Linked DNA regions of Pelodiscus sinensis. The protein of the gene in region 4 binds, or shares a complex with, the protein of the main gene of each other region. Links are inferred from orthologs where the notes say so. Each region holds a gene or a part of one and is shown on either strand. Other genes may lie near its edges.

What was found.
Region 1: HDAC2 (region 4) and RBBP7 share a complex: the UniProt entries of both Homo sapiens proteins name them as parts of the core histone deacetylase (HDAC) complex. The link is inferred for Pelodiscus sinensis from reciprocal best matches to the Homo sapiens genes HDAC2 and RBBP7.
Region 2: HDAC2 (region 4) and ZNF541 share a complex: the UniProt entries of both Homo sapiens proteins name them as parts of the histone deacetylase complex. The link is inferred for Pelodiscus sinensis from reciprocal best matches to the Homo sapiens genes HDAC2 and ZNF541.
Region 3: HDAC2 (region 4) and SAP130 share a complex: the UniProt entries of both Homo sapiens proteins name them as parts of the mSin3A corepressor complex. The link is inferred for Pelodiscus sinensis from reciprocal best matches to the Homo sapiens genes HDAC2 and SAP130.

The regions. Positions count from the first base shown.
Region 1 is NC_134711.1:210,747,430-210,755,255, forward strand, and holds the start of RBBP7 (histone-binding protein RBBP7), read left to right. Parts: upstream 1-4,813; 5' UTR 4,814-5,104; coding exon 5,105-5,120; intron 5,121-5,308; coding exon 5,309-5,453; intron 5,454-6,187; coding exon 6,188-6,333; intron 6,334-7,826. UniProt on the Homo sapiens protein: Core histone-binding subunit that may target chromatin remodeling factors, histone acetyltransferases and histone deacetylases to their histone substrates in a manner that is regulated by nucleosomal DNA.
Region 2 is NW_027465999.1:199,482-206,909, reverse strand, and holds the start of ZNF541 (zinc finger protein 541), read right to left. Parts: upstream 3,009-7,428; 5' UTR 2,923-3,008; intron 1-2,922. UniProt on the Homo sapiens protein: Transcription regulator which is essential for male fertility and for the completion of meiotic prophase in spermatocytes.
Region 3 is NC_134720.1:5,765,073-5,772,397, reverse strand, and holds the start of SAP130 (histone deacetylase complex subunit SAP130), read left to right. Parts: upstream 1-4,323; 5' UTR 4,324-4,462; exon of another isoform or gene 4,463-4,471; intron 4,472-5,465; 5' UTR 5,466-5,471; coding exon 5,472-5,583; intron 5,584-6,216; exon of another isoform or gene 6,217-6,328; coding exon of another isoform or gene 6,329-6,329; intron 6,330-7,101; coding exon 7,102-7,325. UniProt on the Homo sapiens protein: Acts as a transcriptional repressor. May function in the assembly and/or enzymatic activity of the mSin3A corepressor complex or in mediating interactions between the complex and other regulatory complexes.
Region 4 is NC_134713.1:81,522,075-81,529,960, reverse strand, and holds the start of HDAC2 (histone deacetylase 2), read left to right. Parts: upstream 1-4,886; 5' UTR 4,887-5,044; coding exon 5,045-5,096; intron 5,097-7,886. UniProt on the Homo sapiens protein: Histone deacetylase that catalyzes the deacetylation of lysine residues on the N-terminal part of the core histones (H2A, H2B, H3 and H4).

The DNA.
Region 1 (7,826 bases), on a different chromosome or scaffold from region 4:
TTTATGAGCCCGGCTTGCCATTGCCAATCAAAAACTTCTCTTATTCAGTTCTTCATTAGCTCTAGAGGCATCCTTTCCACATCCAGGCTACTCAATGCTGCTTTTATTGAAGGGAGGAGTCCTAAAAACAAAGATTTCCGGAATTCGGGGGTATCGTGTATCACATTTCCATCCATTCCAGTGCTCAATCCTGCCAGTCTTTGGAGAAATTTTTTCCTGATGAAATAAAGCTCTGGCCTTTCTCCTTCCCTCTGTTTATCCGAATAATATCTACCTCGAATGTCATCATTGGGGTAGAATAGATCATAAAGAGCCTTATACATCCTATTAAAATCAGGATTAATCGAATTGGCAAGATCAGCTGGGAAAGCAATAAGGTCCTCAGGAAGTAAGCACTCTTGCAAAACCACCAGCATATCGTCACTGGTTAGGTTGGTTCTGGCTAGTTTAGCCATCCAGTCCAGTGCATTGTTCTTTCTGCAAGGGCCTAGATTTTGCCCTACAGCTCTGGCTTGCTCTGGTGACAACACTCGTCTTTCATATTTCACAATAGGGTTTGGATCATTAGGGTGGAACACCTCAGTGGTGACAATGGGTTCCACCATACCCTCTACCAGCTCATTAGTTAATATAGTGTTCTCATAAATGTCCTTTTCAATGCCCTCGTTGATAGCAGAAACGAAACCTCTTGCAAGGCCTAGTTTCTGCTCTAGTTCTTTCAACTTTCTCTGGCATTCTGTGTGATCCATTGAGATGGGTTTAACTTGTCTTTTCTCATTTAATAGATGTCTCGCTGTAGCTTTAGAATCATTAAATCTAGCTACTTTATCAGTTATTTCACTCTCTAATTGTTGACATCTATTAATAACATCCTCCATTTGATGCGATAGCGCATCCCTCTGTGAACATAAGGTATTGTATTTGGTTTCTCTCAGAGCCAAATCAGCTTTTAATTTATTAATGGTAGAGTACTGTGCCATTCGGATTTCTAGCGAATCATTTAATTGCTTACTAAGAGCCTCTACCTCTACGTCTAATGATCTAGCCACCATGGCTAATCCTTGTATAATGGCTGCCTTTTTAGTCTTTTTATTAGGCTTGGGTTTGGTCTGAACAAAGATTTCCCACATTACTTTAAAATTCTTTAAACAATCTTTCCCTTTTAAATCACTTGCATCCCACACATTCACACTTTTAATAAAGACATTAATATCTTCTTCAAGAAGGATTTTATTTGACTGCTCTGCTGTCTTGCTGCCTTGCAGTCCAAAGATTCGGGGTGCCTTCTTGGACGCCATACCTTAAACTTGTAAGGGTCCTACCTTACCTTTATAAGTCTGGAAGAAACCTGGGGACTTCTGTGTTATCAGAGACAGTAGGCTGATCAGGCCTCTGCTCTGCAGAAATTCTCCTTAAGCTATTAAATAAATAAACTGTACGCAGCAGACTGCGCAGCACCTTTGGGGCGCTCCACGCAGTGAAGCAGCAGTTGCTAAGCAACCCGCCGGTAAACATTCCACACTAGGCAACGCTCTGAACCCCGTGAACATTCCAAAATGCAAATTGACTTTATGCAAATGTACTTGGACCGGTCAAAATGCAAATTAATTTTATGCAAATTAATCTTATGCAAATTAATCTTATGCAAATGGTGGAACACCTGAATGGAGGAACGTTCCAACCCAAAATGGCTACCCCAAACTTAAAATGGCAGATCGCCAGCACACCTGAACATTCTAAGAAAAACCTCTAAAGGGGTTTAAAATCTTAAAGTGGTGGAACGTTTATTCCATTGATGAAACGTCCTGAACCCAGAGGATTACCGCCTCTAAAGGGGTTTTAAAATGAGGTGAGTAACTTTGTCTTAGCAGCAGCAAGCCACCTCAAGGAGACCCAAAACAAGGGACCCTCAGTTTTAAACCTTTTAAATTCAGGTTAAACTGCCCAAAAGACTACTCCTTGAATTGCTTAGCTTGGCTCAGAAGTAGGACAAGCTAAGCCTTATCTCAAGGTAACACAGCTTAAGGATACCTATCCCCTCCTTGTTACCCTCTATCTGCCTAAATCCTAACAAACCAAAACCCACAAGCCACACACTTGATGTTCATTTGAGGTATGTACACTTAAATAAAAAAACTAAGAACTGACACTCTGAGAGGGTCCTGCCGCGGTTGCCACAATTCTGTTACCTGTCTATCGAACAGAATAAGGAAGGTCAAAAGTGTTTAAAGACACTTCCCAAAGAGTTAGTTTAATAACCCGACCAATCCGCAAGGTTAGTTTCTAATTCATTACATTTCTTTAATACCTCCTCAATTTGAATATTTAATGCATCTCGCTGTGTGCGTAATTTGTCAATTTTGGCATCCTTTATTTTAATTTCATTAACCAACTCCCTATTCATAAGTTTTCAAATTCAAACAGTCAGGTATTACTACATGCCAGGTGACTAGAGGCTAATGGTTTCTTAATATGATTGACAGTTTAGGTTACAAGAATGATACACATTACAAGACATGGGTCGCAGAGGAGCATCCTCACCCTGCTTAGCCACACGATCACCTTGGAAGAGTAAACCGGGAGAACGGATAGGGTCTCCGGGAAATGTACCCGCAAAGTGGTAAAACGGGAGTAGGCCCCGGCCTGCCCCGATTCCCTCCCCGAGTCACTGGACCGTATACAGCTATCTGTTGTTGATGCGTGCATCTATGCTCCACCCCCATAAGTGGGGGTGGGCCCAGAGGACTAAACCAGCCCACACCAGGTTCTGCCGCGGTTGCCAAACTGTTACTCGGAAGGCTGAGGTAAACAATGGCTGTGGGCAATTAATTAAAGCCTAATGCTGCCTCCCCCACAGAAGCCAGATTCAACCTGGAACACGTATTTATCACCCTTGGGAAGATAGTCAGAAATCAGGTCAGACCCGAATTTAGGGCCAAACCCTATATTTTAGAAAGATAGCAACACGCATCAACAACAAGAACCACAGTAAGTGACCCACCCTAACCTGGAAGAAAAGAGAATAGAAAAGATCCCGTATACAAAAGGAATATACTTTACAACAAGAATTGAAGGCGGCAATGGACGTCTGCGACCTCGTGGCTAATTTAAAGGAAGGACAGCAGGCAGATCCCTTGAAGTGGGGTATCCTCACCTCCATATGGCTGACACACTCCGGATTCCTTGGCACCAGTCCCTCGGCTTGGTGAGGCTCCGCGGGTACATAAACAATGGATAGTAAAGTCCCATAATCCAATGATACCAGTCCCAAAGTCCTTAGAGAGGAGACTTCTCTCACACCTCAGGAGGGCACAGTTAGTGTTAGACCTGGGCGGCCTTGACCAGACCACGTGCGGATGGCGCTTCTTAGGGGTGACGGCAGTAAGGCGGGAAACTGGGTTAGCGAGTGGGGTGCAGTAGAATAGGGCGGTGTGCATAGGAAAAAGGGTGCAAGGTGCATAACCTGGCTGCGCACACATCGCATTAGAGGGGGGTGCATAGGTTAGCATTCCTCCGTGTGATTTTGGCGGGAAGAAACTGCTGAGGTGATAATGATCAGTAGACTCCATTTTGAATCACTAGCCTGGGTAACATGTGCAAGAACGCACTTGCAGTGTAGACACCCAGCAAGTTTTTGCGCAAGAACAGCTGTTCATGCACAAAAAGTCTGCAGTGTAGACGTAGTTATGTCCACTCTGCACGCTTATTTCAAAATAGCAGAGTGCACGTCTAAACAGCAAGGCTATGTCTACACTGGCGTGTCCTTACGCAAAAACTCTTTTGTGGAAGAGTTCTTCTGCAAAAACTCTTCCAGAAGAGAGTGTCTATACTGGCATGTACTTTTGCGCAAGAGCATGTGCTTTTGCGCAAGAGCATCCATGCTAGTGTAGATGCTCTCTAGCGCAAGAAAGCACTGATGGCCATTTTAACCATAGGGCTTTCTTGCGCAAGAAATTCATGTTGCCTGTCTATACTGGCCTTTTCTGGAAGAGCTCTTGCGCAAGAGGGCTTATTCCTGAGCAGGAGCGTCAGAGTTCTCATGCAAGAAGCCCTGATTTTAGACATTAGGACGTCATTTTACTTGCGCAAGAACACGAGGCTAATGTAGACAGGCAGCAAGTTTTTGCGCAAGAGTGGCCGTTTTTGCGCAAGATCGCGCCACTGTAGACACAGCCCAAGGCTGTTATTTCAAAATAATTTCAAAATAACAGGCTTCTCCGACTTCTCCCTTTGACTTCCTGCAGTGTAAACAACATCAAAAGCAGAGTTAAGCTACTTTGACATCAACTATATTCCAGTTTTAGCTCCAGTGTAGACGTGCTCTGAGTGTTGGTCTGGGCAGACTGGGTTATGGCACTACCATCTTTGTCAGCTCTTGATCAGGAAGCTGCACGCCCTAGTCAGAACCCCACCTGCCAGCAAGGGAGGCTCCCTAGAAGACGTTCTCTCCCTGGGGGCTGGGAAGAACATCTTTAAGAGCCAACCCTGCCGCTTCAGAAACCAGCCAATCAACACAGCCCCCCATTGACTCTTTTCAATGCATCTGAGGAGTCTGAGACAATCGTGCTGGGGGCGGGAACCGCGTGGGCGTCACAGCGGCAGGCTCTAGGGCAGCGTTGACGTCACTGCTGATGGGGCGGGGCCAAAATTCTCTACGCTGTTTGTTTGGCAGCATCAAACCGGAGAGGGGCTTGCCAGGCCCTCCTTTGCCCCGCCCTCAGGTTGTTGGGCACTCTCCTGCTACGCATGCGCTTCTCCGCCTCGCTGCCTGAGTGAGCCCCGGAAGGGGCGGTGGCCGGTGGGCGGGAACGTTGAACTCTGGCTTCCTTGTTGCACGCGCATGTGGCGCGCGCGCTTTGGCGTCAGCGCCGCCTCTCATTGGCCACTGCCTCGGGGCCGTCGCGGGGCTGACCCGGAGGAAGAGCAGCCGGGGCGCTGCGCACGCGCATGGGCGGTTGGGAGTCTGGGACTCCAAGCCAACGAGGCCGCCTAGAGCCCTGCAGGCCGGCGCGCGAGCGGCCGCTTTTGAACCGCGGCGGAGACGGCGGCGCCAACTCCGCCCGGGGCAGGGGCGCGCAGCGCGGGAGGGAGCCCCAGTCACAAAATGGCGAATAAAGAGAGTAAGAGCCGCGAGGGGGGACGCGGGAGAGGGGGGGACGACGCGCGCGCGCACCTCAACCGGCTCTCTTAGGCCCAGACGGTTGTCGGTGGGGGGGGGGCGGTCCATTGGGGTGGGTATTTCTCCCCCCCCCATCACACACTTCGGCTCCCAGGAGCCCCCGCCTAGCGCGCCTCTCTGCCCGCGCAGTGTTCGAGGACACGGTGGAGGAGCGCGTCATCAACGAGGAGTACAAAATCTGGAAGAAGAACACCCCGTTCCTGTATGACCTGGTGATGACCCACGCGCTCGAGTGGCCCAGCCTCACGGTGCAGTGGCTGCCTGATGTCACCAGGTGGGTGGGACTCCTCCTTCCAACCCTCCCTCCAGGGCCCCGCTTCAAGCCGCCTGCCCCGCAGGGTTGGCAGCGCCCACTGAGACGTCCTGGGAAGGATAATCCTAGCAGTAAAGGGTTGCAACCAGTCAGTGATACCTATATTTCACCAGGACTATGTAGCACTTTAAAGACTAACAAGATGGTTTATTAGATGAAGTGGGTCTGGCCCACGAAAGCTCATTATTTAATAAACCATCTTGTTAGTCTTTAAAGTGCTACATTGTCCTGTATTTTACTTCAGCTATATTTCACCAGTCAGTGATACCTTCGGTATCTGGACTACTCTTGCTGCACTCTGTAGAGAGAAAAGCTGCCTGTTAGATTATCCAGGTTTGATATGCCTATTTAATGTTAAATGCCTTTAACTTCATTAATACGGATTTTTAAGTCGGTGCTGATGTCAAAATGCCTCTACTTAATGTGTACACACTGTTGTATTTACACTGTTCAAGCATAAACAAAGTTTTGTTAAAAACTTACTTGTCCAATTTACTGATGTCAAGAATACCTGGGGTTCAGCTGGTAAACATGTATGTGGCTGTGCCTAATGTGTCTGGGAAAAGTGTTTTTCCCAGTTCATCTGTAATCTCCCATAGAAATTGGGATGTTACAGAAGAACTTTATCTCTCAAAATATTTACTAATATGGAATAACTGTTCTACTTTTGTAAGACCGTTTGTTTTATTGAACAGGCCTGAAGGAAAGGATTATGCCCTTCATTGGCTAGTATTGGGAACACATACCTCTGATGAGCAGAATCATTTGGTTGTTGCAAGAGTCCAGATTCCTAATGATGATGCTCAGTTTGATGCTTCTCACTATGATAGTGAGAAGGGAGGTGAGTATTGCAGGAATTGTTGATTGTGTTCTTTTAGCAGTAATGTAAAACAGTGCCTATTCTGTTTAATGGTGTTCTAACTTGTAACCTTAAAAACATTTTTTCTTAAGAGTCTATTTGTATATTAAAGTTGTTTTTAGTATATTGCAGTGCCTCTCAAGCTTTCCAGACCACTACAGGCAGTCCCCGACTTACGCGGATTCGACTTACGTCGGATCCGCACTTACGAACGGGGCTTTTCTCGCCCCAGAGCCCACCCATGTCCTCTGGGGCGAGAAAAGCTTCTCCCGGTCTCCCTGGTCTGCTGGGGGGGTCCAGCAAAGGTGCTGGACCCCCCCCCCCCAGCAGACCAGGGACACCCGAGCAAAGCTGCCGCCTGAGCGGCTTTGCTCGTTTGCCCGGGAGCAAAGCTGCCCAGGCGGCGGGGGTCCCGCTGCCTGGGCGGCTTTGCTCCCGGGCAAACGAGCAAAGCCTCCCAGACGGCGGCTTTGCTCGGGTGTTCCTGGTCTGCTGGGGGAGTCCAGCGGCTTTGCTGGACCCCCCCCCCCAGCAGATCAGGGGGACAGGAGCAAAGCCGCCCAGGCGGCGAGGGTCCCGCTGCCTGGGCGGCTTTGCTCGCGTCTACCTGCTCTGCTGGGGGAGGAGGGGGTGTAGCTAGTGCGCCCCCCTCCCCCCTCCCAGCAGACCAGGCTTTTGTTGCGGGACGCCTCAGGTAGAGCAGCTGGGGTGCTGCCAGGTTGGTCCTGTGGGAACCTACCGGGCAGCGCCCCAGCTGTTCTGTCCCAGGCTCCAGATTCAGCAGCTGTTGAAACTGATCAGGCTGATTCCAGGAAGCTGGGGGCAGAGCAACTCTGCCTCCGGCTTCCTGTAGTCAGCCCCTGGTCAGTTTGTGGCAGCAGCTGAATCTGGAGCCAGTTCCAACTTACATACAAATTCAACTTAAGAACAAACCTATAGTCCCTATCTTGTACGTAACCCGGGAACTGCCTGTATACTCATTTCAGGAGTCTAATTTGTCTTCCACACCCCAAATTTCACTTCACTTAGACCTACTTGCTTCAAAAATAGATTTAAAAATTACAGAAGTGTCAGAGTATATGTAACTAGGCAAGTATCTGGATGAGTTGATGTATACCCTGGAAAACCTCTAATATCCCTATGGGTACATGTACCCCTGGTTGAGACTCAGTGGTTTAAAAGTGTAGTTCTAGAGCCTTAATATATTTTAGTCTAGAATGACCCTTTTAAAAAAAATATCTGAAACCCGATAACGTGCATTAAGTCAAGTCAGTATTGGAGAACTTCCTGCAAGAAGTTTCCTGTTTCGTATAGGTATTGACTTGACTAAGTTTTTCAGTTGTGACACTAAAGCTGTGATCACCAACCTGTCGATCGCGATCGACTAGTCAATCGCAAGGCCTCGACCAGACGATCATGAGGTGTTTGGGCTCCTCCAGGCCTCATTTTCCCCCCACCTCCGAGAAGCCCCACTA
Region 2 (7,428 bases), on a different chromosome or scaffold from region 4:
GACCTCCTCATTCTTTTCTGAAGAATAAGAAGGGTGGTGGCACCTTTCCTAGGCTGAATTGAGGTGAAAGAACTTAATATTAACTGGCCAATGAACTAAACTAGTTGAATAAACTCAGCTGAAGACAGTATTCTTTGCACCTGAAGAGGTTATTGCTGTCAATATCTGGTTTAGCATATCAGCAAATTCTGGTTTTAGGTGCTTAGTTGGCAACTTCCACCAGTCTGATTGTTTTACTTTAAACTTCAATAGCAAACGTGCTTCTTGAATTATTTGTATTTAGTTTAAATGATTTTAATTTAGTAAATGTGTATGTCTTAATATAGGTTGAACATTTCAATTTTAATTTTCAATGGGTTTATTTTTTAAAAAGAAAAATGCATTTAAGTAAATACATCTGATTTCAATTTCAAAAGAATAAAAAAATGTTTAAATCACTTTTTATCCACTCTGACCCCTGGCCCTGTGAGAGATGAAAAGGAGGGAGGAGTCAGCCAGCCTCTGGCAAGGAGGGGGGATTGTTTTCTAGCTCTAGGCCCAAATGGGTTGGGACAATGCTCCTGGCACTGTGAGGATGGGGAAGACTGCTGTCCATGGTAGCAAAGGGAGGGGAGAGTTCCTGTTTGGGTAGAGACTACCTGTCCGGAGGGATGCAAAGGGACTGATATTACCCCTGGGGAGTTGCTCCTGGCTCTGGTGGTAGGACTCTGTGGGTTCCTTCCCCTGGTGGGGATAAGGCTGCTGCTCAAATTGGGAAGGGGGATGCTGCTCCTGACCCTTGTAGGATGGATACTGGACTATGATGGAGGGGTATCCTGGCCCCTGGAGGGAATAACTCCCTCCCTATGAGGGATGCCCCTAAGAATGTGTGGGACATCCCTACCCATGATGGGGATGGTGATCCCAACTGTGATGGGAATAGGGTGTCCCTCCACCTAGGGAGATGGGAGGGGGTCCCTGCCTATCATGGGAGTGATCTCCGCCCCAAACATATGGGCAGGGGAATTCCCAACTGTGCTGAGGGTGAGGGGGCAGAGAGGTCCCTGAGTGATGTGAGGGTCCCGGGCCCTGGAGGTGATGAGTGTGGAGGGCTTCCTGTCCATAATGGACGGGAGACTTCCTGCCATTGGCGGGGATGGGTGGGGGAGTACTTGTTCCCACAGAGAGGGGGGGTCCCTGCCCTAGTGGGTAGGGTGGGAGGTCCCTGTCTGTAATGAAGAATCCTGGAGGTGGCTGGCAGGGGAGGATGAATGGGAGTCCTTAACTGGGCCGGGGGTCCCATCCCTAGGGTGGGGGGGTCCCTACACCTGGCGAGGGGGTGTCCCTGCCCAGGATAGGGGGGCACTGCCCTGAGAAGTGGGACGCTGCCCAGGAAGGCGGGGGTTGTTGCCCAGGGAAAGGGGGGCACTGCCCCGGGGCGAGGGGCTGCCCTGGGGAAGGGGGTCTGTCCCGGGCGGGGGGGCTGCCCTGGGGAAGGGAGGGCTGTCCCAGGGGGGGGGCTGCCCTGGGGAAGGGGGGGCTGTCCCGGGCGGGGGGGGGCTGCCCTGGGGAGGGGGGGGGCTGTCCCGGGCGGGGGGGGGGGCTGCCCTGGGGAGGGGGGGCTGTCCCGGGAAGGGGGGGCTGCCCTGGGGAGGGGGGGGCTGTCCCAGGCGGGGGGGGCTGCCCTGGGGAAGGGGGGGCTGCCCTGGGGAAGGGGGGGCTGTCCCGGGCTGCCCTGGGGAGGGGGGGGGCTGTCCCGGGCGGGGGGGGGCTGCCCTGGGGGGGGGGCTGTCCTAGGGAAGGGGGGGCTGTCCCGGGCGGGGGGGCTGTCCCGGGCTGCCCTGGGGAGGGGGGGCTGTCCCGGGCGGGGGGGGGGCTGCCCTGGGGAAGGGGGGGCTGTCCTGGGGTGGGGGGGCTGCCCTGGGGAAGGGGGGGCTGCCCTGGGAGGGGGAGGCTGTCCCGGGCGGGGGGGGCTGTCCCGGGCTACCCTGGGGAGGGGGGGGGGCTGCCCTGGGAGGGGGGGGCTGTCCTGGGGAAGGGGGGGCTGTCCCAGGCGGGGGGGGCTGCCCTGGGGAGGGGGGGGCTGTCCCGGGCTGCCCTGGGAGGGGGGGGCTGTCCCGGGCGGGGGGGCTGCCCTGGGGAAGGGGGGGCTGTCCCGGGCTGCCCTGGGGAGGGGGGGCTGCCCTGGGAGGGGGGGGCTGTCCTGGGGAAGGGGGGGCTGCCCTGGGGAGGGGGGGGGGTGTCCCGGGCTGCCCTGGGAGGGGGGGGCTGTCCCGGGCGGGGGGGCTGTCCCGGGCTGCCCTGGGGAGGGGGGGGCTGTCCCGGGCGGGGGGGGCTGCCCTGGGCGGGGGGGGCTGCCCTGGGGAAGGGGGGGCTGTCCCGGGCTGCCCTGGGGAGGGGGGGGCTGCCCTGGGAGGGGGGGGCTGTCCTGGGGAAGGGGGGGCTGTCCCAGGCGGGGGGGGCTGCCCTGGGGAGGGGGAGGGGTGTCCCGGGCTGCCCTGGGAGGGGGGGGCTGTCCCGGGCGGGGGGGCTGCCCTGGGGAAGGGGGGGCTGTCCCAGGCGGGGGGGGCTGCCCTGGGGAGGGGGGGGGTGTCCCGGGCTGCCCTGGGAGGGGGGGGCTGTCCCGGGCGGGGGGGCTGCCCTGGGGAAGGGGGGGCTGTCCCGGGCTGCCCTGGGGAGGGGGGGGCTGCCCTGGGGAAGGGGGGGCTGTCCCGGGCTGCCCTGGGGAGGGGGGGGCTGTCCCGGGCGGGGGGGGCTGCCCTGGGAGGGGGGGCTGTCCCGGGCGGGGGGGGCTGCCCTGGGGAGGGGGGGGCTGCCCTGGGGAAGGGGGGGCTGTCCCGGGCTGCCCTGGGGAGGGGGGGCTGCCCTGGGAGGGGGGGGTCGCTGCGAATCGCAGCCGCCGCCTGAGGGGAGCGAGCCGCGCACGGGAACCAGCAACTTTACCCGTCGCCTCGCGCCCTTCTCGCCCGCTCCCGGCACGCGGCGCCGCCCCGCCCCGCCCCGCGGTCACGTGACGCCGGGCTGGGCGGGAAACGGGGCCGAGCGGCGGCGCCATTTTGTGAGAGGCAGAAACGAGGCGTTCTGGGGCGGGGAGGGGTGAGAACCCGGGAGAGGAGGTGTGAGGGGAGGGGCACGTGGAGGGGAAGGGCATGCGGGACGGGGGAGGGGCGAGCAGGTGTGAGGGGAGGGGCACGTGGAGGTGAGGGGTGAGGAGGTGTGAGGGGAGGGGCACGTGGAGGGGAAGGGCATGCGGGACGGGGGAGGGGCGAGCAGGTGTGAGGGGAGGGGCACGTGCAGGTGAGGGGTGAGGAGGTGTGAGGGGAGGGGCACGTGGAGGGGAAGGGCATGCAGGACGGGGAGGGGCGAGGAGGTGTGAGGGGAGAGGCAAGTGGAGGGGAGGGGCATGCAGGACGGGGAGGGGCAAGGAGGTGTGAGGGGAGAGGCAAGTGGAGGGGAGGGGCATGCGGGTCGGGGGAGGGGCAAGGAGGTGTGAGGGGAGAGGCAAGTGGAGGGGAGGGGCATACGGGTCGGGGGAGGGGTGAGGAGGTGTGAGGAGAGAGGCAAGTGGAGAGGAGGGTGGGAAGGGGAAGAGCTTGGAGGAGGGACATAGGGGCCAGGGGGGAGGGGAGAGAAGGCAGGAGAGGGAGGGAAGGGAGAAGTGGAGTGGGGGGTAATGGAGGGGGAGACGATGGGGAGGGGGCGGTGAGAGGAGGGCAGGATACATGCAAAGGTGGGAGGCTATGAGGGGACAGATGGCGGATGCGTGAGTGGGAGGAGAGACATGAGGGTGTTGAGAGGAGGAGGTGTTGTGGGAGGGGGAGGTGTGATGAAGAGAGGGGGAGAATTGTGAAGGGGAGCTTGGGAGAGACATATGGGAAGGTGCAGGTGGAGGAGTGAGAGTAAGTGTTTGGGGAGTGGGACCTGTGAGGGAGGAGTATGGAGACAGACTAGTTGTGGGGGGGTGGGGGGGAGGTAGGAACCATGCAAAAAGGAAGAAGCCCAAAGAAGGAAGGGGTTGGTTAGGGGTGGGGATGGAAATATGAGGGGGCTATAGAGGGAAATGTAAGGCGAGGGAGGAGGTTTATGAGACGGGAGGCAGAAAGTGTAACAGCACAGTTTGGAGAAAGTGTGAGAAAAGTGGAGAAAAAGCAGGTGAGACGGTGCTGTGACTGTTTCCTCACTCCTCCCTCCCTTCCCAAAGGTGGCTCATTTAGTTGTGAATTGAACATCTTTCTAAAGCTATAGCACATCACAAACCAGAAAAAAAAAGAAAAATGTGATGAATTTACCCCAATTTTAAGCAGGTGCACTGATTCTAATAATGGTTTTTGGACTTTTTACTCTGCATATGGTAGGGGTTTGCTCTTGGTAGGACATTTTACTCTGCGTATGGTAGGGGTTTGCAACTACACTCTTGGCTAAAAAGGAAGCAGATCACTAGTCCAGGCAAGGCTATAGAGAGGAAGACTCCTCTGTTGTGGGCATGTGATTCCAATGTCTCATGGTGTTACAGAGTAAAGTGTTGCAGGAGATGAGGAGAGTTGTACCATGCCTAACCATGATTGCCAACAAGTGTGGTTAACTGACATGGTAATGAAACTGAGCCTGAAACAGGACTACCCCAGTGCCTTGTGTAGTTATGAACAGTAGTGCAAAGGATAAATAAAATGCTATCACATAAAAATGATACCTCTTTCTACAAAGTGACATAGGGTTACATAGCTACATGGGGTGTAAGGGTGTGGGAAGCCAAGCCTAATGTTTTTATTCATGATCAGAGTTATTAACCTTTGTGTGCTAATGTAATTTTCATTGGGGTGTTACAATTCTATCTACTAAAACTCTTTTTGCAGTTTCATTTGAAGAAATAGCTGGTGTATTCTATCCCATAGAGGTTGCATTTCAGTAGAAAGCTGTGTGCATACTAATCAGTGAGCTAAAACTGGCATTAAATTGGTATTCAATATTACATGTTTGACAAGTGATCACAGCTTTGGTTTTATATTTTCAACAGCTAGCCCTTCATACTGTAAATTTCTCTAATGTACTTTGGTTTTCAGCTTAAAACATTCAGGCTGAAACATCACCAGGAGAGATGTGAACTTCCACCATTTACCTTAATACAGTATTAAGTTAATTTAATTTATTTCAGTTAAAATTCAAATGCTAATCATGACCAGTCAAATAAAGAACAATGTTAAATGTATCAGCATTTGAACAAACACATCAAGTTACTGCACTTACTATAACAGGGCCTATTATAGTCTACCATTTCCATGGTTATGGAAACATTCCATGTCAATAAAGCTGCAAGTTTAGAACAGGAAAATAATCAAATATCCTTTTGATTATGTAATTGTGACATTTGCTGCTATCCATTGCAATTAAATAAACGTAGATTTCAAAGTACTATTAGCAGAATAGATCTGGGATTGCCATGATGAGGTTGGCAAGATTATGTGGCATTTTTATATAAAATCCATTTTGAACTGATATAAATGACTACACAAGGTGAAGGGTTGTCCTGATTCAGATCCGGTTTCGTTACTGTGTCAGCTAACCACAATTGCTGGCAATCATGTTCAGACATGGTACAACTCTGTCAAGTAGGTTAGGATGAGAGTGACTCCCCTGAACTTGAGAATGCATGGAGAGGCCCCAGGCTTCCTATCTCTAGCTCAGGTAATCAAGCTGAAAGCCTTAAAAAGTGGCTAGACAGATTTCAGGAGAAAGCAGATGACAGCTTACTCTGGAAGCTGGGAAGAGAGCTTTGGAAATATGGCATGTCCTGTTCATGGTTTTTTTTTTAATGTTTTTGTTTGATTTGGTGTTTAAAGCCTGTTCATCTGAACAAAGGGAAAGTGGCCAGAGATGTTATTAACCTGCTTTAGTATTGGCTCCACCAGAAAACATGCCCATAAACTTGCAACTCAAAAAAAGTCCAGGTTTTTTGAACCATATGAACCCTGCCTCTAATATACTACATACAAAACTATGTGTGTAAGACAGATCTCAATAATTACATTTTATGTTTATATAGAGAGAGATATTCAGGACAGAGAATATCTAATTTAAAAATATATATCATTTAAATGTTTTTCCTGTCAAGTTAGAAATTAGAGGCCAAATTTATTTCTAGTTCGGCTCCAAACCGGACCTGAATTTGTCTCTATCTATATTTAAAATGTTCCTTTTTTTCTGATGTAACCAGTGCTAGAGATGTAAAATTCCAATGAACCAGGTAACCCATTAAATGGTAGGTTAACCTAATGTTTAACTGGTTAAGTGACTAAGAAGGATCCCAGGAGGGAGAATCGTTCTGGCACGGGACTATAGGTAGGGCTGCTCCCAGGGAACCAGTTAATTGTTACCTGATAGCATCACTGAGGAAGGGTAATGCTTATTGGGTAACCAGTTACCCCTTCACATGCCTAATAACCAGTGAGATTATTAAAACCAGTGCTTTTTTTGTGCTGGTAGTGCCCACAATGGCGTACTGTCACCTATTTTCCCAGCCCACAGAAAAAGAATGGGATTTTCCCTGAACATACTGGCACCTGTTTCCTGGGGCAGCTCGGCTCCTGACGGAAGCCTTCTTGGGACGCGCGGCATTTTTTTCCCCCGGCTCCCAATGCAGCACTATGGCTCTTAAAGGGGCCGTGACCACATTTCAGCCCCCGACATGAGGCTGGTTTTTTTGCTCAACAAGTTTGCCCCAGAGTACCTACACCTTTTCCCTTACAAAAAAAGCACTGATTAAAATTCAAGAGATTTTAAATGTCTTGTTTGACATCAATCATTACGTTGTTAGTTTTCTTTCTGTACTTCATTTGGATTGGAACAAAGTCAATCAGTTACCTTCTAGCGGTTGATTCTCATTTTTTAGCAAAATGCTGTCATATTTGATTTGCATACTTACAAAAAAATGTTTGAGTTCAAAAGACATTTTAATGGGCATTTTCTGCGTGTGGGTGTGTGTACTGAACCTTCAACCGATGGAGCTCATATTCTATGACACCGTTGGTGAGCGACTAAGCCAATGCTTGTTTGGCAAATCTGATTATAGAGGTCACATCAAAATCTGCCCTCTGTAGATGTTGTGAACTCTTCAGATCCTGCACTTTTCCTGTAATGTCTGGATACATTGACTCTTGAAGTGTTTGAGAGCCTGTTCAATAGTTTACTGCCAGAATAGTCTATCCTGAGCTATGATTTCCAGGTCATCGGGAGATACAGCACTTGACTTCACATTGGCCTTTAAAATATCTTTATAATGCTTATAATAACCACCAATAACAGAGTGCTTTCTATGAACAAGCTGGTCATAGAAGACCATCTTCAGCATCCATATATCATCTGTTCTCATGACATCACCATGAAACTGTTTTGTTCATAAACATTGCTTCCATGCCCATGACATCACACAGCCTGAGGACCTCTTTGTTAGGA
Region 3 (7,325 bases), on a different chromosome or scaffold from region 4:
GCACAGGAGGCTGTGAGCTTTTTCTCTAGAAAATTAATGGCTACATGGTGGGTAACAGATAGCCTCCGGAGCGATCAAAATCTGTGCTTAAATGTGGGACACAGTGAATTAATGACCTATCTTTGTCACAATTGATAAATAATGTGTCTGACTACAAAAAACGCACCTTTATGCTTCTCAAGCTGTTATCCACATGTAATTTCTTTCCCTGTTTCTGGCAAGTCGGACATCGCACAACCTAGTTTAGATTGAAGAACACAATCACATTACTTTTTCCTTAGATCATTAGTACTCCAAGGGAACAGAGTTCACCTTTCCACAGCGAATATATATTTTCTTAATTTTATAAATCATGAAATTGTATTTCAATAGTCAATGTCTTTCTTTCTGAATTACTGTCAAATCTTTACATACCTAATCGACAATGTCTCTCATCATCCCTGGCCAATAGTATTTTGAAGTCATGATATTCCTAGTTTTGAATATTCCTTCATGTCCACCCATGAAACTGTCATGATACCGTTCAAAAAGTGTCCGTGCTTCTTTCATGGTATGCACAACGATAACCTTTCTTCCTTTGGCTGAATGGTACAATGTGCCATCTGTTGAATATAGAACATGGATCAAAGAGGATGAGTAAGGTGATTGCCTGCTGCAACAACCAATGTTACATCTCTGTTAAGCATCTTCCCCTGTATCTCATTTCCTGTTCACTCATTGGTATTGAAAAATTATACAAGACACACATAGCAAGGAAATCTATACACTGTATACTTCGTAATTGTGGGAGTACAAGGTGTGACTTTCAGTGTATGATTATGATTATTTATTTGTTTTGTAAATTAGAAATCATTGCTCACTGACCAGATAGTGACTGCTGTTGGTGCCTTGCATCACAAAGGAGAATATTCATAAGACATGAAGAACAGTGATAATTTTAATTTTCAAAGAATTATAATTCTTACTAATTTATAAGGTAACTGACCAATATTTTTCATGTATGCATAGATAGCAATATAATTTTTAAATGAACTGTGAATGAAGGTAATGCTGACAATCACAGTAACAGTGAAGGTAAGGTAAACATTCCAAATAATCCCAGTGTTGGGACAGCAGTACAATCCTGTACAGCATGTATCATCCATTGTAATGTGATTATTCTATTAAAAAAAGGATTCCTTGCCTTCCAAAGAGAATCTACTAGCAAATCTTCGAAGGTTCAATCGTCCAGCCTTATTCATTCCTTCAGGATATGTGTTACTCGTTATGTATGCCAAAACATTTTTAATGTTGTCCTCAAAACATTTCCCTGAGAATTGTTCAGAACAGGAAACAGCTAGTGAATTGGAAAATGGGAAAAGCAATCCATATAACAGTCAGTTCAAGTAGAAAATATGAGATCTACATTGCGTACATATAAGCAACGTAAAACAATATTAACAAGGCCTGATTGTCAAGCCAGTGACAACAGACAAATTAATTTAAGGAACATGCATAATTCTCCTGAATGTATGTGTTACCAAAGAAGGATGTATTCCATCAATGATGATCTAATGTTTTTTGAGATTGATATCACCTAGATCCTTGATTATAGTCATTGCTTGACAAATAATTGAAAACACTACTTGACAGACAAAAAAGGGACTGAACACCCCAAGTTAATAAATTCCGACTAATAATAAGAACAGTAATTGCTAATACGTTATTAATAAAATATCCTCCCTGTTAGCAATGCATGTATTATAAACTTCAACTTTTTCCCCTCTGCTTCCATGTCTCCTCCCATTGCTCCAGTAGCTACCCTAGTGACTGCTGCCTCCTAACTCCTAAAACTCATGGTTCATAAAGCAAATGAATGCACAATAAAACACTTTTTTATGCATATTGGACAAGTAAACGTACCTTCCATAATGATGTGTGTAGTAGAAGAAACTTTTTGCTTGTTGAAAATATATGGGGAACAGATACTGTGGAAAAAGTATTAAGGATGTGAATTAAAAGAAACACCTAGAACATATACATATGAGTATCACTTGATACTCAGTACTGCAATTAAACAATCATTTAACAGAAATTTTAATTGTTAAAATTAATATATTGTAACTAGATTATCGAGTAAATTGTATATCACTGTAATGGCTCTGAGGTTGTGCACAGAATTGGTCCCTGTTACAGATATAGGAATGGGGTGAGCTTAGCAATTATATCATTGTCCTGCTTGTAGTTACTTATGGTCTCATAGGGAACATATTTTTCAACGTTGATAATTCACCACCACACTGTAGCTCTATTGCAGGAACTAGGTTACTCAAGGTTGTTATATTCCAAACTTTGAAACACACACAGACACTGCCACCCACTAACACAGAACAACTCAGAGTATTGTGTAATCATCACTCTCAGTGTGACGCATCATGGACTCTGCATGCTGTGTTTAACAGCAATGCCACACTGCACCAACTATGCTTACAGAGGTAGTTTGAGGTGGGGGAATGAGAAAGAGAGAGAGGGAACTCACCACTCTGCGGAGCTGTACACTGATCAGGGTTCCCAGATGGTGAAGGTATCTATGTGTCCAGATGGTTGAAGGAAAGCACAGCAGAAGCCACAAAACGATCAGAAAGGAGATGGTGTTGCTCTCTCAATGAAGCTTCTCCAGTATAAAACTCACTATGAACAAAAGTTTCACCAAGGCTTAGATAGGAGAATACTTGTAACATAAACAGAGGTGTGAGCAAAGGGAATGTTTTTCCTTGATGGAGGTCACAAAGCAGCTAGGCAGTTTTAGTGTTTTGGATGTCAATAGGATCATTACTATCATTGGTAAGATACTGAAGAATGAGGATGTTAGCAGCACTGGCTTCAGAATCTGATTGATCTGAAATTCCACATGAGAAATGCACCCCTCCTGCACCCAAACTCCATCCCAGATCCTGAGCACCAAACATGGCCAAGTATCGGAGGGGTAGCCGTGTTAGTCTTAATCTGAAAAATCGTTGAGGAGTCCTGTGGCACTATCTTCAGTTCGTCTATAAGGTGCCACAGGACTCCTCGCCCACATGGCCAAGTGAAACTTTTGTGATTCCTCTGATACTTGGCCATGTTTGGTGCTCAGGATCTGGGATGGAGTTTGGGTGCAGGAGGGGTGCATGCTAAGGGGAGTTTGGGGGACGGGTGTGGGCTCTGCCATGGGTCAGGAGATTGCAGTACAGGAGAGGGTGTGGATGGGAGGGACTTTAGCACATCAGCACAGTACACGAGAAAGGAGATGCAGTGACTTCAGATAGACATAGAAACTAAGAGAAAACTATTAAATACTCCAAAAGCAAGAGGCAGAGTTTGAGACAGGAACTGTCTGTAGAATATTTCACACTTGTACACATACAGAGGAAGCATTGACCATCTAGGAATTGGGAAGCCGGTGCCTTTAAGAACTCAAGCCCAGGAGCCCCCCCCCTTCCTCCCCTCGGGGCTGACAGGCAGCATCCAGGGAAAAGAAAAAAAGAAAAAAAAAAAAAGACTTTGCACCCCTGGCAAAACGATATTTACAAGGACATCAGGTGGCTCGTCCCGCAGGGTGACTGTTCCTACCTCTCCCCCTCCCGAAATGGGGGTTTTGTCCACGCACAGGGTCTGGCACTGTTCCCCCCGCCCGGGGTTAATCACGGCTACCCCCCCACCCCCGATTTTTCAAATTTCGCTCCTCTTCTGCCGCTAAAAAAAGCAGCTTGATCCCCCCAGCCAGTAAATTTTTGCCCCCTGATCAGACCATGACCCACACCCCGTTGAAATTCGCCCCCAATAATCATGTTAAACCCCTCCAAAGAGGAGGGCGCAAATCCTACAAGCCCTGGGGGCAGAGAGGGCAGCGGCTCCAGCAAGGCCACTGAGTTTGCTCAGTTCGGGTGCGCACGCTCAGTGCACCCAAACTCGCAAATGTGGAGTAGCGTTCTGCTCGCTGCACCGGCCGGGCAGAGCAAGAGCTCGCCGCTCGTGCCGCCGGGGGAGACACCGCACGCGCTCGAGCTGCAGGCCAGAGCAACAGGCTCAGCGACACACGAACCCTGCCACGCTAAACTCCGCCCCCCAACCCCGATCTCGCGAGATTACCTTGTTCTCCTCTTCCTCCCGATCCGCATGATATTTCCCTTTAGGCCCAGAATCGCGGCTGTCTTGGCCAATCGCTGCTCAAGGTCTGGCCCCGCCTTCTTCCGCGTGCCGGCGAGATTATCCCTGAAGCGCTCTCGGGTTAAACTACTTTTCCCAGAAGCCCTTTCGATGCCGCCGTTTCAACCCAGATTGGGCGGGGTCACGCGTTGTGGGCGGCACCAACCGGAGCCAATCAGGCGGAGGGTGGCTGCGGCGGTGGAAGGAGAGAGCTTGAGTCCGAGCATTGGTGTCAGCGGGAGAAACGGATTCGCAGGCGGCTGCGCGAGGCCCCAGCGCGCGCACGGGACAGCAGGTAGCCCAGGTCAGGGACGGCTCCGCGTGCCGCTTGGGCGGGCGGGCCAAAAAGGGGGGGGGTCTCGGAGGCGGGCTCCGGATCAGACCCGGCGGCAGAGGATCGCGGGAGGCTGGACGGAGGGGAGGAAACCCGACGGTGGTTTCTCAAGGGCTAGGAGCGAGGGGCTACTTCTCCGGGGGCGGGGCGCTTCTTCCAGCCGCCCCATAGGTGCCAATGGCTTGTTGGTGGCCGTTGCGCTTTATTGCTTGTGAACATCCGGGCTCTGCGCGTCCCTCACAGCGAGGTGGGTTGGGACTTGGCGTGGACAATTGCTCCCTATTGGCCAGTGCGTTCTTATCCTATTGGCTAGCTCTCTCATGAGGTCACTAGTGGGCTGGGCTCTCGATTGGTTGAGCGCACGAGCCTAAATCTGCGTTCGATTGGCTCGTGGCCCAGCTTGACCTTGGATTGGTACAGGGCTATGACGTAGTCTCCTTTATGCCACCCAATCAGCGAAGGGGCTAGTAGCCGGTTTATGGGGCTCTTGGTGCGAGGGGGGGGAAGTGGGTACTTCGCGCGCGAGCGCGGGGGGGGGATACCTGAGGAGCTGGTGCCCATTGCAGGAGGCGGTCTGGTTGCTGTGGCACAGCCTCAGGGTGATGCTGTGCCGTGCCTAGCGCGCTGCCCTGGTCCCTGCAGTGCGCCCTGAAGAAACATCCCTCTCCCTTCCACGTCTGGTCTCTGTCATCCACAACCCAGAGCAGCACCGCCCTGCCGGGTATCAGACTGTGGGAGCGTTGGGCCCTGCTTTCCACCTTCCTTTACCAAGTGATAACGTGTCTGCTTTCAAACCAGCTTTTCCCATTAAAATGCATGCCCCTTGTTCCATGGGGCTATGTTACAAATTGTCACCTCATTCCCTGCATGATAGGAGAGCGATCACATCTCTTCAAGTGTGAGCGTCTTAGGCTGAACATATTGCCAGGATTATGTTGCTTACAATTTTCATCACATTGCGCAGGTGGAAATGAGTTCTCAGCAGTTTCCCCGTTCTGGAGCCCCTCCTGCAGGACTAGGACAAGCACCACCCCCAATTTCAAACAGTGGATCTACAGGGCTGATAAACCCAACAACCACAGGTAAAACAGCTATGGAAGATTCATTTTTCCTACCAAAACAATTTCATTCTGAGGAAGTTTGAGACCGTTTGCTGCATGCTCTGCAGAACTGTATTAAGATGATTGGATGTTTAAACACATCCAAGACAGACATGACTCAAATGCTGATATAAATAGGTATGTTAATTTGAAGAATTGTAGTAAGCTCTTTTTTCACACCCCACATGTTGTACCGGATAAGTGTGGGCGGGGAATATTCAAGTTGCCTTAGAAAAACAATGTTAGCAAAAACATTTTGACTGTTTAGAAATCATCTAAAAAGTAAAGTATAGTTGTTGTACAAGATATTAATTGGCCTTTCTGTTGGGGAGGGGAGAATTGCAAAGACATCACAGGTAGGTGGAAACTAGGGAGTGGCTTCAGAACAAACTATACACCCATGAACATAGGCTGTGTTCACCTATAAATAGAAGTGCATGATTAGCTGATGTATTAAAGGGATATTGTCAGAAAGTGGATTAAAATGGTTTGTCAATATTCCTTTAATTAATTGCTAAATGAGGGTATGTATCTGATCATTTTCAAGCCCGTGTTAGAAATACCTGTTACTGTTTCATTATCTCCATAACTCTTGATTGGTGTTTGATGTCTTAGGTCCCAATTCTGCAATGAGATCTGTGCTACCAGATGCCTGCCCCGGGGACCTGGAGCTCATTGCAGGATCAGGGCCTGAGTAGTGAGTTGCCACATTACTGATGCCTCCAGCAGTAAGTCAATATGATCTTATAGAGTAAGATGGAAGGAAGCATGTTTTTAGAATTCAAATTCATAATTATGGTAGGAGATTCTGAGAGAAGTAAGTATAAAACAAATTCTAGGTAGGTTTTGATTGCCCTAATAATCGTGTTTAAAACACAGTTTACAGCTGAGCTTCCTGTGCTCTTAAGAATTTATGAGGTGGAAATAAGGTAGAAATTCCAATTTTAGTCTAATTATCACTGTCCAATGGGGCAGCTTGTGTTCTGTTTTTGTAGATTTTGCTTTGATGATTTATTTTTATTTTTAATTGGAGAAAGTAGTTAGACAGTCTTGCATTTAGTGAATTATTTAATAAAAAAAAAATTGCATACATGCCATGAGGCCTTAGTCATTGTTGGATCGGATGGTCTCAATCAGTTTATTTTGTTACTATGAATTAGATTAAAAAGAGGCTACAGTTAGAGGTTTATTTTAAGAAGGATGATTGTGTCTTGTCAGTGACTTGTGTTAGACCATGATGTGTGGAGATAATCCTTACGGCTCAAAGAGGAATACAGAGCACACTTTGCAAGAGGATTAATGACTTCTGGAGACTTTTGTTTTTCAAGCAGGTTTATATTATACCAGGATTAGTAATGTCTCTTGTGCAGGAGGTTTTAAACAAACTGCCTTTGTATGTGTACATTTTGCACTCAATTTGAGGGCTTGTTGGCAATGAGTGCATACTTCTTTTCCATTTGTATCCTTTTCCTTAGAGTTCCTTTTTTCTTTCCTCACCAGTGAGTGATGAATCTAATCGAGAGTCAGAAATTGGTCCCAGAGAGCACATGGGCCCCAGTGGCTCTCTACAGTCTCGTGAAGAGAAACAGGAACCGGTGGTTGTTCGGCCTTACCCACAGGTTCAGATGTTGACACAACACCATCCTGTCCAATCTGGTGCTGCCGTTACAGTGACAGCTCCACCAGCACATCTGACTCCAGCAGTGCCACTTTCCTTTTCAGAG
Region 4 (7,886 bases):
GGTAGGACAGAAAATGAACACTATGCCCATTTCCTGACAAAGGGATTAAAAGTGCAAGAAGCACAAGTTCTTCACATGGTATCTCCTCCATGTTGTTGGTGCTGATTATCAGAAACATGCAGACCCAAAAGATGGCCCTGCAGGATGGGTTGGAAAGCTTGGATAATTTTTGGTAAGGTGTCACAGATGACCAATCAAGTTTTTCCAGTAGATCATTACCAAAAGTTTTGTGTGGTTATAACGGGGGGAGATGTTAGGAAGCACATGGGTTAGGATGGTTTGACTAGAGTCTGTGTAGGACAATGTGACAGACCATATCCAGAAACTGTAAACCTAGGGTGGCTACTCATTGTGGATTCGCAAGTACTCAGCTAAATTCCCACAGATTCTGGCAGTGTAATCATGCCCTATGTTAGGGCTGAAAAGAAATGCCTATCTTTTCCAGCAGTACAAAATCAAAAGCACTTTTCTTGGAGGCTGGCTTCTTAGACATCTGAATTTTTTGTTGTAAAAATGAGAAAGGTGCCTGGCTGAGGATGGGAGAGATGCCCACTTTATGACTCATAGTCCAGTGGTTAGAGGACTTACCTTGAATGTAGAAAACAAAGATTCAATTCTCTGCTCTGCCTGACAAATGATTTGAACCCCTTAACACTTTCATAAGTAAAATCATTGCATGTAATGTGGCATAATATAAGTCGGGCACCCTCATGAATAATTATTCTTGCTGGAAAACATATAAAATAGTGGCATGCATGAAAATGAGAAATATTCACATGTTGAAGTTGTTTTCATGAATTCACAAAACCAATATAGTTCAAAAGAGAACCACTCATGTATTTTGAAGAGAGGCACTGCAGATACTTTAATTTTGTTTGCAAGAGTTGCTGAAGTAAAATATTTACTGAGATTTGTATTACTTTGTTAGTTCCCTAGAGTATTCTTCTCTCTCTCTCTCTCTCTGCATATATGCCAATCTATTGATGGCTGATATTACTCACTATAGCCATGGGAGTAAAGTTGAGCACAGCTATAAATCTTCTGCTAGACTTAATGACCAGTATGTATAACAAAGTACTCTGAAGTTAATGCAATGGTGTATATACAACTGTTTTGAAGATAGCTAGAGCCGAGTATATCATAGTCCAGCAGATCTCAAACTGTGGGTCAAGACCCCAAAGCAGATCAATTTTAATGGGTTCACCAGCACTAGTGTTAGACTTTTACTAGGGCCTAAGCCTGAAACCCAAGTTCCACGGCCCCAAGGCCAGAGCTAAAGCCAAATGACTTCAGCTCTATATGGTGGGGCTCAGGTTACAGGACCCTTGCCCAGGGTGGCAGGGTTTAGAAGGACTCAGGCTTCAATCCCCTCTCCTAGAGTAAGGGAGTAGTTGCTGTTGTCAGAAGCAGGGTGCACTGAAAAGCAAGAATTTTTGCGCAAGAGCACGTCCACACTGCCATCTGCTTTTGTGCAAGAGCGTCCATGACAGTGTGGAGGCTCTCTTGTGCAAGAAAGCTCTTATGGCCATTTTACCCATAAGGGTTTTTTGTGCAAGAAACCCGTTGCCCGTCCACACTGCCTTCTTGCACAAGAAGGCTTATTCGTCATGGGGAAAGGAATAACTCTTGTGCAACAAGCCCTCTTTTCCGATGCTTTACTGTAAATTTACTTGCGCAAGAATGCATGTGCAGTGTAGACAACCATTCTTGCGCAAGAAGCCTGTAGTGTAGACATAGCCTACAGTCTCTGACTGCTGCTATAGACCACATAGCTGTGACAATCAGCCATGGGTGCCATTTAGGTGGACTGCAACCCAGTCCTAAGTTTCCTACTATACCAGGACACTGCCTCCCCTCAGTTTTCTTTGTTTACTCTGCTCCCCCTCTGCTTCACACTAATCAGAGTGAAAGAAATGCAGGCCCATCAAGCACAGCAAAAGACCCAATCAATGCCAACTGCTGCTTGGCTCCTGGCTGAAATCAGCAGCTAGGTTAGAATCTGAACTCCTGAGATATTGGTTCCATCTTGAGAAGTACAGAACTATAGCAGCAAAAACAAAACACAAAGGTGAGCTGTCACCTCTTTGGCTTACTCTTCTCCCCTCACCAGCCAGACAAAAGCTATCTAAGCTCCTGTTCCATGCCAGGCTCTCCTCGCTACCTAGGATGGCAGTCTCACAATCTTGAGTACCTTCAGTGAATCATAGAACTGGAAGGAACCATGAGAGGTCATTGAGTCCAGTCCCCTGACCTCGAGGACCCAATATCGTCTAGAATGTCACAGAGGTGATGGTTATACCCTCAAATGCTTAGAGCCACAGCCTAGGTGCCTCCTTCCAATACTTTGTATTTATTCATAACTATTTGCATAAACAATTCAGTGCACATAAACCCAAGCCAAGATTTGTCTGACAAAATGGCTATGTCTAGACTGGCATGATTTTGCGGAAATACTTTTAACGGAAAAGTTTTTCCGTTAAAAGTATTTACGCCAAAGAGCGTCTAGATTGGCAAGGATGCTTTTGTGCAAAAAGTGCTTTTGCGTAAAAGCATCCGTGCCAATCTAGGCGCGCTTTTGCGCAAGAAAGCTCCGATGGCCATTTTAGCCATCGGGCTTTCTTGCGCAAAAAATTTAGGTGCCTGTCTACACTGGCCCTCTTGCGCACGTATTCTTGTGCAAGAGGGCTTTTCCCTGAGCGGGAGCGTGAAACTATTTGTGCAAGAAGCACTGATTTTGTACATTACAAAGTCAGTGCTCTTGCGCAAATTAAAGCGGCCAGTGTAGACAGCTAGCAAATTTTTGCGCAAAAGCAGCCACTTTTGTGCAAAACCTTGCCAGTCTAGACACACCCAATTTGTTTTTTATAGATCTACACTGCTAACATCCATCATTTAATTATATTCTTTACAGTGAGTCCTTTTAAAGGTATAGACCAACGTGGTACAGGTTGTACCTCCCTTAACTGGGACTCTGTGGTCTGGCACATCCGTGATCCAGCACGGAGCCCCGGTATAGGGAAGTCAGAGTGTGGGGCAGGAGCGGCAGGGGGGGCGCGGAGACTCAGCCGGGAGTCAGGGCGCAGAGAGGCGGGTGGTGCAGCAGGCGGCCAGGTGGGGGGCTGGCAGCGGCAGCCATGGAACTCTGGCCCTAGCCATAGAGTTCAGGGACTGCAGCGGCAGCCACAGAGCTCCAGCCCCCGGCTGTGGAGCTCCAATCCCAGCGGCAGCCAAGATCCTGCAAACAGCAGTGAGGCTAGGCTGGAGCCCTAAACAGGGTAGCAGGACATCCTGGGTAGAGGGACCTCCCCTGGTCCGGCAAATCCCCTCATTTGGTACTGCTCAAGTCTCCAGGGTGCTGGATGAGGGAGGTCCAACCTGTAATAAAGAAATAGTTTAAATAAATAGACTGGACTACTTTGGGGTTATTGCTTTTTGTTTAAATGACTGTATTGATTGAGTAGAAATCTGGCAATTCTATTTTTGTTGATTTTTCCCCGCCCAGATGACATCATGAAATTATCCCTTGCTTTAGTTCGTATCTGGGGTATTGTTTTTCAGTAATTTATTTACTTTTAAACATTCCTGGAAAGAATTAATTCTCTCATTCACCTCTTCACAATTTGGACCATAAAACCATGGGTGGTGGGGGAAAGGCCCAGCTGGGATAGACAGCAAAGGCTCTGCCCCTTCCACCCAAAGCCACACCCCTTCCCAAGATCATGTCCCTTCATAACCTTTTCTCCTCCCCTCCTCTATCGCCACCCGAGGTCAGTGGCATCTGAGTGTCACGGATCCAGCCTTCCCCAGTCACCGAAGAGCAGGGTGCCAGCCATGCAGCATTGCCCTAGCCTTCCTGGCCACTGGACTGGCAGCTGTACAGTCCCAGCTTTCCCTGGCTGCTGGGCTGCCATGGCCCCAGCCCCTTCTAGGTGGCTGGGCAGTGTAGGCAGTTTTGAGAAGGCAATGCCTTCCCTTGCCTAAATTACCTGCTGCCCATGCATAAGACTTTTTTTAAAAAATACAAGGCTAAGCAGATTTTATTTCTCTCTACTAAAGATGGTATCAAACTTGTATTAAGGCTCCAAAACTGACACCTCAAGATTTGGGGTTGGAAATATCTTGCTGCTGCATGTTCTAAACGTAGGAATAACCTTAAAATGGGGCTCTAATGGGTATTTGTGATATTTTTCTTTATACAAGACTTAGGACCGCTGTGCCTGTCAGCTGATTTCTGAGACACCACTTGAAAAAAAAACTCGGGAATTTCCAAGTGCATAAGTAGCCTCTGGGGTGCAATGCTGGTTAAAGCCCTCCTCCCCCATCCCTAAATCGGAAATGGCGCCCCAGAATGGGGAGACAAGATGGGGGATTTGCGACCAGTCGCGGCCTGTTTGCAACGAGCTTGTCTGAGTGGCCGCTTCACGCCGGCCCCGCCTCGCACCCGGGGGCAGGGTGGCAGCTGCGGGTGCGCTCGTGCCGCCCCTCTGGGGTGCCGGGTCAGACAGCGGAGCCTGGAGTGATGCGCAGCCCCGCCCCGCCTCCTCCCAAGCACGTGACGCGATTCAGACCGATGGTGGAGGGGAGGGGAGTGAGCTTTGCGCATGAGCAGACACCGTCCCCATTGTGGGGAGGGGGAGAGAACGCGCGCGTCGCCCGCTACCTCGCGCAGGCAGTCTGGCGGGCTGTACCACTGTGTAACACTGCGACAGGGGGAGAGGCCCCATCCCTATTTGATTTGTCAGGGACGCACCTCCCGCCGCTGCCTCCCGCTCGGGCCGGCCGACGGTCGGTCCGCGCGGCTCCCCATTCAGCGCCGGGGGGGAGGTGTCGGGCGGGCCCAGCCGAGCTGGTGGCGGGAGTCGCGGCGCTACCCGGCCCTTTCCCCCCCCCCCCGGGTCGGCTGCAAAGTGAGCGCGTCCCCGTTCCCCGCTGTTGATGGTCGGGTCGGTGCGTTGCTCCTGCCCCCGGCGTCGCGAGTTCACGCTCGCTCGGCTCCCTCCTCCCTCCCTCCCGCCCGGCTCGGCCTCAGCCTCCCGGCGGCCCCATGGCGTACAGTCAGGGCGGCGGCAAGAAGAAAGTCTGTTATTACTATGACGGTGAGCGGCGGGGCCCTGGTTCCCTGCGATTCCCTCCCGCCCCCCCCCCCCACGGGGCTTTCTCCGTCGTGCCCCTCCCCCCCCCCCGCTCCCCGCACCTCGGCGCGGCGCTTCGCTCCAGTGTCGGGGCGGCGGCGGCCGATCGCAGCCCCGGTTCCGAGCGACGCGCCTGAGGCCGCTGGGCTGAGGGGTTCGCCAGGGGCTGCGCCCGGGCTCGTGCGTAGCTGCCGGGGCGGGGGAGCGCTCCCGCTGGGGGCCTGCCTGTCGCTTGAGGAGAAGCGGGCGACTGGTGGGTCCTGAATCTCCGCGGCTGCCCCTAGGTCCTGGCAGCCTCCCCCGGCCGGGCAGACGCTCGGGTTGCTGTGCGCGCTCACCTCTTGGCTCCGGATGCCCCTCGGCTCATCACAGCAGCGCACTAGGTCCTGTGGCTTAACCAGTCATCCATAGCTAAGCGGTGCTTGGGATTTGGGTTGCACTGAGTTTCAGGTGTTGGCAGCACGCCCTGAAGTGGAAACCCGTCTGTCCCCTTTGCTTGCTAGGCTAAAGGTATTGCTCAGCTCACTCGTTTGGAGCTAAATTTCTACATAAAGAAAGATGCCTCGGAACTACCTATTGAGAATGGGTGGCATAGATCGGGAATTTTGATATTGACTGCAGTGAAGAAAGAGGGGATGAGGCTGCTTTGCAGTACCTATTTCATTGCCTTGTCACAGTTTGGGATAAGGAGAGCAGTATCATCGGCCCATGATGATGCCAGAAGTGCTGCTACTATGGTAGCTCTGTTGGTCAGAAATTCCAGACCTGAAGAAGAGCTCTGGGAGAAAGCTTTCTCTCCTCAATAGAAGTTGATCCAGTAAAAGATATTACCTCACCTTGTGTAGTCAGAAAAAACGGCAGTTTTGTTGGGGCCTGGTGAGGGTTTTCTAACATGCTGGCAAGTTAGGCAGAGTGATGTGGTTGCCGCCCCCTTCTCTTTGTCCTTCACTCTGGTTCTTTGTTCAGCATAAGGGCAAAAGGAGGCCCTGTTAAGGAAAATTTTACTGAAACTGGTGTCTGACTTTTCTCTGGAAGAAGAGTAGACAGTCTTGCTGAAGGGAAGATTACATTGCTATTTTAAGTTATATTTGCCAGTCTGTCACTAAAAATGTAGTTACGTGGTTGGGCAGTGTATTAGAGCAAAGTACATTTGATAAATATGGGTACCATTTCACTAGAGTTCAACACTGGCATTTAGTAGTAGCAAAATAATAATAAGCGCCATTGCTTGGGTCTATGCTTCTGTGTTGGCAGGGTGATGAGCTGATAATTAAATCAGTCCTACTATCTCAGACATCCATGAAAGTGGCTGTTCTTTGGTCAGTTGGAAACTCAGTATTTTCCTCTATTATTGTTCAGACTTCTAATTATATAGCTATTCTCTGGATCTAAGAGAGCATCTTTCCCATTATCTAATATGATCATCAATATTTATAGTATTCACCTGAGTTAGAATGTTTCAAAAGACTTTTTTAAACCTGAAACCAGTATTGTATAAGATGTCAAAGTCAATGTTTATTTTAGATTTCTTAAGTGTAATAGGTTAAAATTTAGAAATTAGCAGTATTCATCAGAGAAATTTTAAGAACTAATTCTGATACTTGTGAGGAAAGTTCCTAATCCACTTACAGTTCACTCAGCATTTCTTCTAATTTCTATGCTGTGCTGTACCCACACAGGTTTGTAAATGTTCTTACTACTGAATGTAAAGGGAAAAATGCTTACAGCCTTAAGGCTACGTCTACACTGGCGTGATCTTGCGCAAAAACTCTTTAGCACAAGAGTTCTTGCGTTAAAGTAGTTGTGCAAGAGAGCGTCTACATTGTCATGTGCTTCTGCACAAGAGATGTGCTTTTGCGCAAGAGCATCCTTGCCAGCGTAGACGCTCTCTTGCGCAAGAAATCTCTGATGGCCATTTTAACCATAGGGCTTTCTTGTGCAAGAAATTCATGTTGCCTGTCTCCATTGGCCTCTTGCGCAAGAACAGTTGCGCAAAAGGGTTTATTCCTGAGCAGGAGCGTCAGAGTTCTGATGCAAAAAGCCCTGATTTCATACATTAGTACATCAGTTTACTTGCGCAACAACATGCAGCCAGTGTAGACAGGCAACAAGTTTTTGCGCAAGAGCGGCTGCTTATGCACAAGATCGTACCAGTGTAGACGCAGCCAGTGTGATCTAAAAGTAGTATAGTTAAAGCCCTATTATCTGGCACTTAGGTAACCTGAAACCTCAATTAACCAGCATTTCTGATATCTGCTAATGCAAATCTTCAATCTAGTGACTAGGACTAGTATGCAGCCTAGCACAGTCGTTGCCAATAAATAAAAATGCAGATCTTGCCATTTAGTGTTATCCTTGGCTTTGCTTTCCCTTGCTGAGTTCTCTGATCTTGGGCTTGTAGTTTGACACTTTAAGCAGCACACAAGCCTCTGTCTCCAGTGCCACTCCTCTAGTGATGATAGCAGAAGAATGACATCCTGATCCTCCACCACAGCAGCTCCCTGGCTCTCCCATGCCACACTGCCGCCCTAGCTCCTGCCCCAGAAGCAGCAACCACAAGGCCTTAACCCAGCTGTAGTCCTTTACCAGGGCTGAATCTGGGGCCAAAACTGTGTGGTGACTTCCCAGCTGTCCTGCATGGCGGCCTGATCACCAGCGGTCCCGGGCCTGCCCCAAGCAGCGGAGGGGCCACTGCTGCAGCCATGTGTTCCTGGGCTGACCCAGGGCGCTGGAGGAACCGCTGCTGCAGCCACA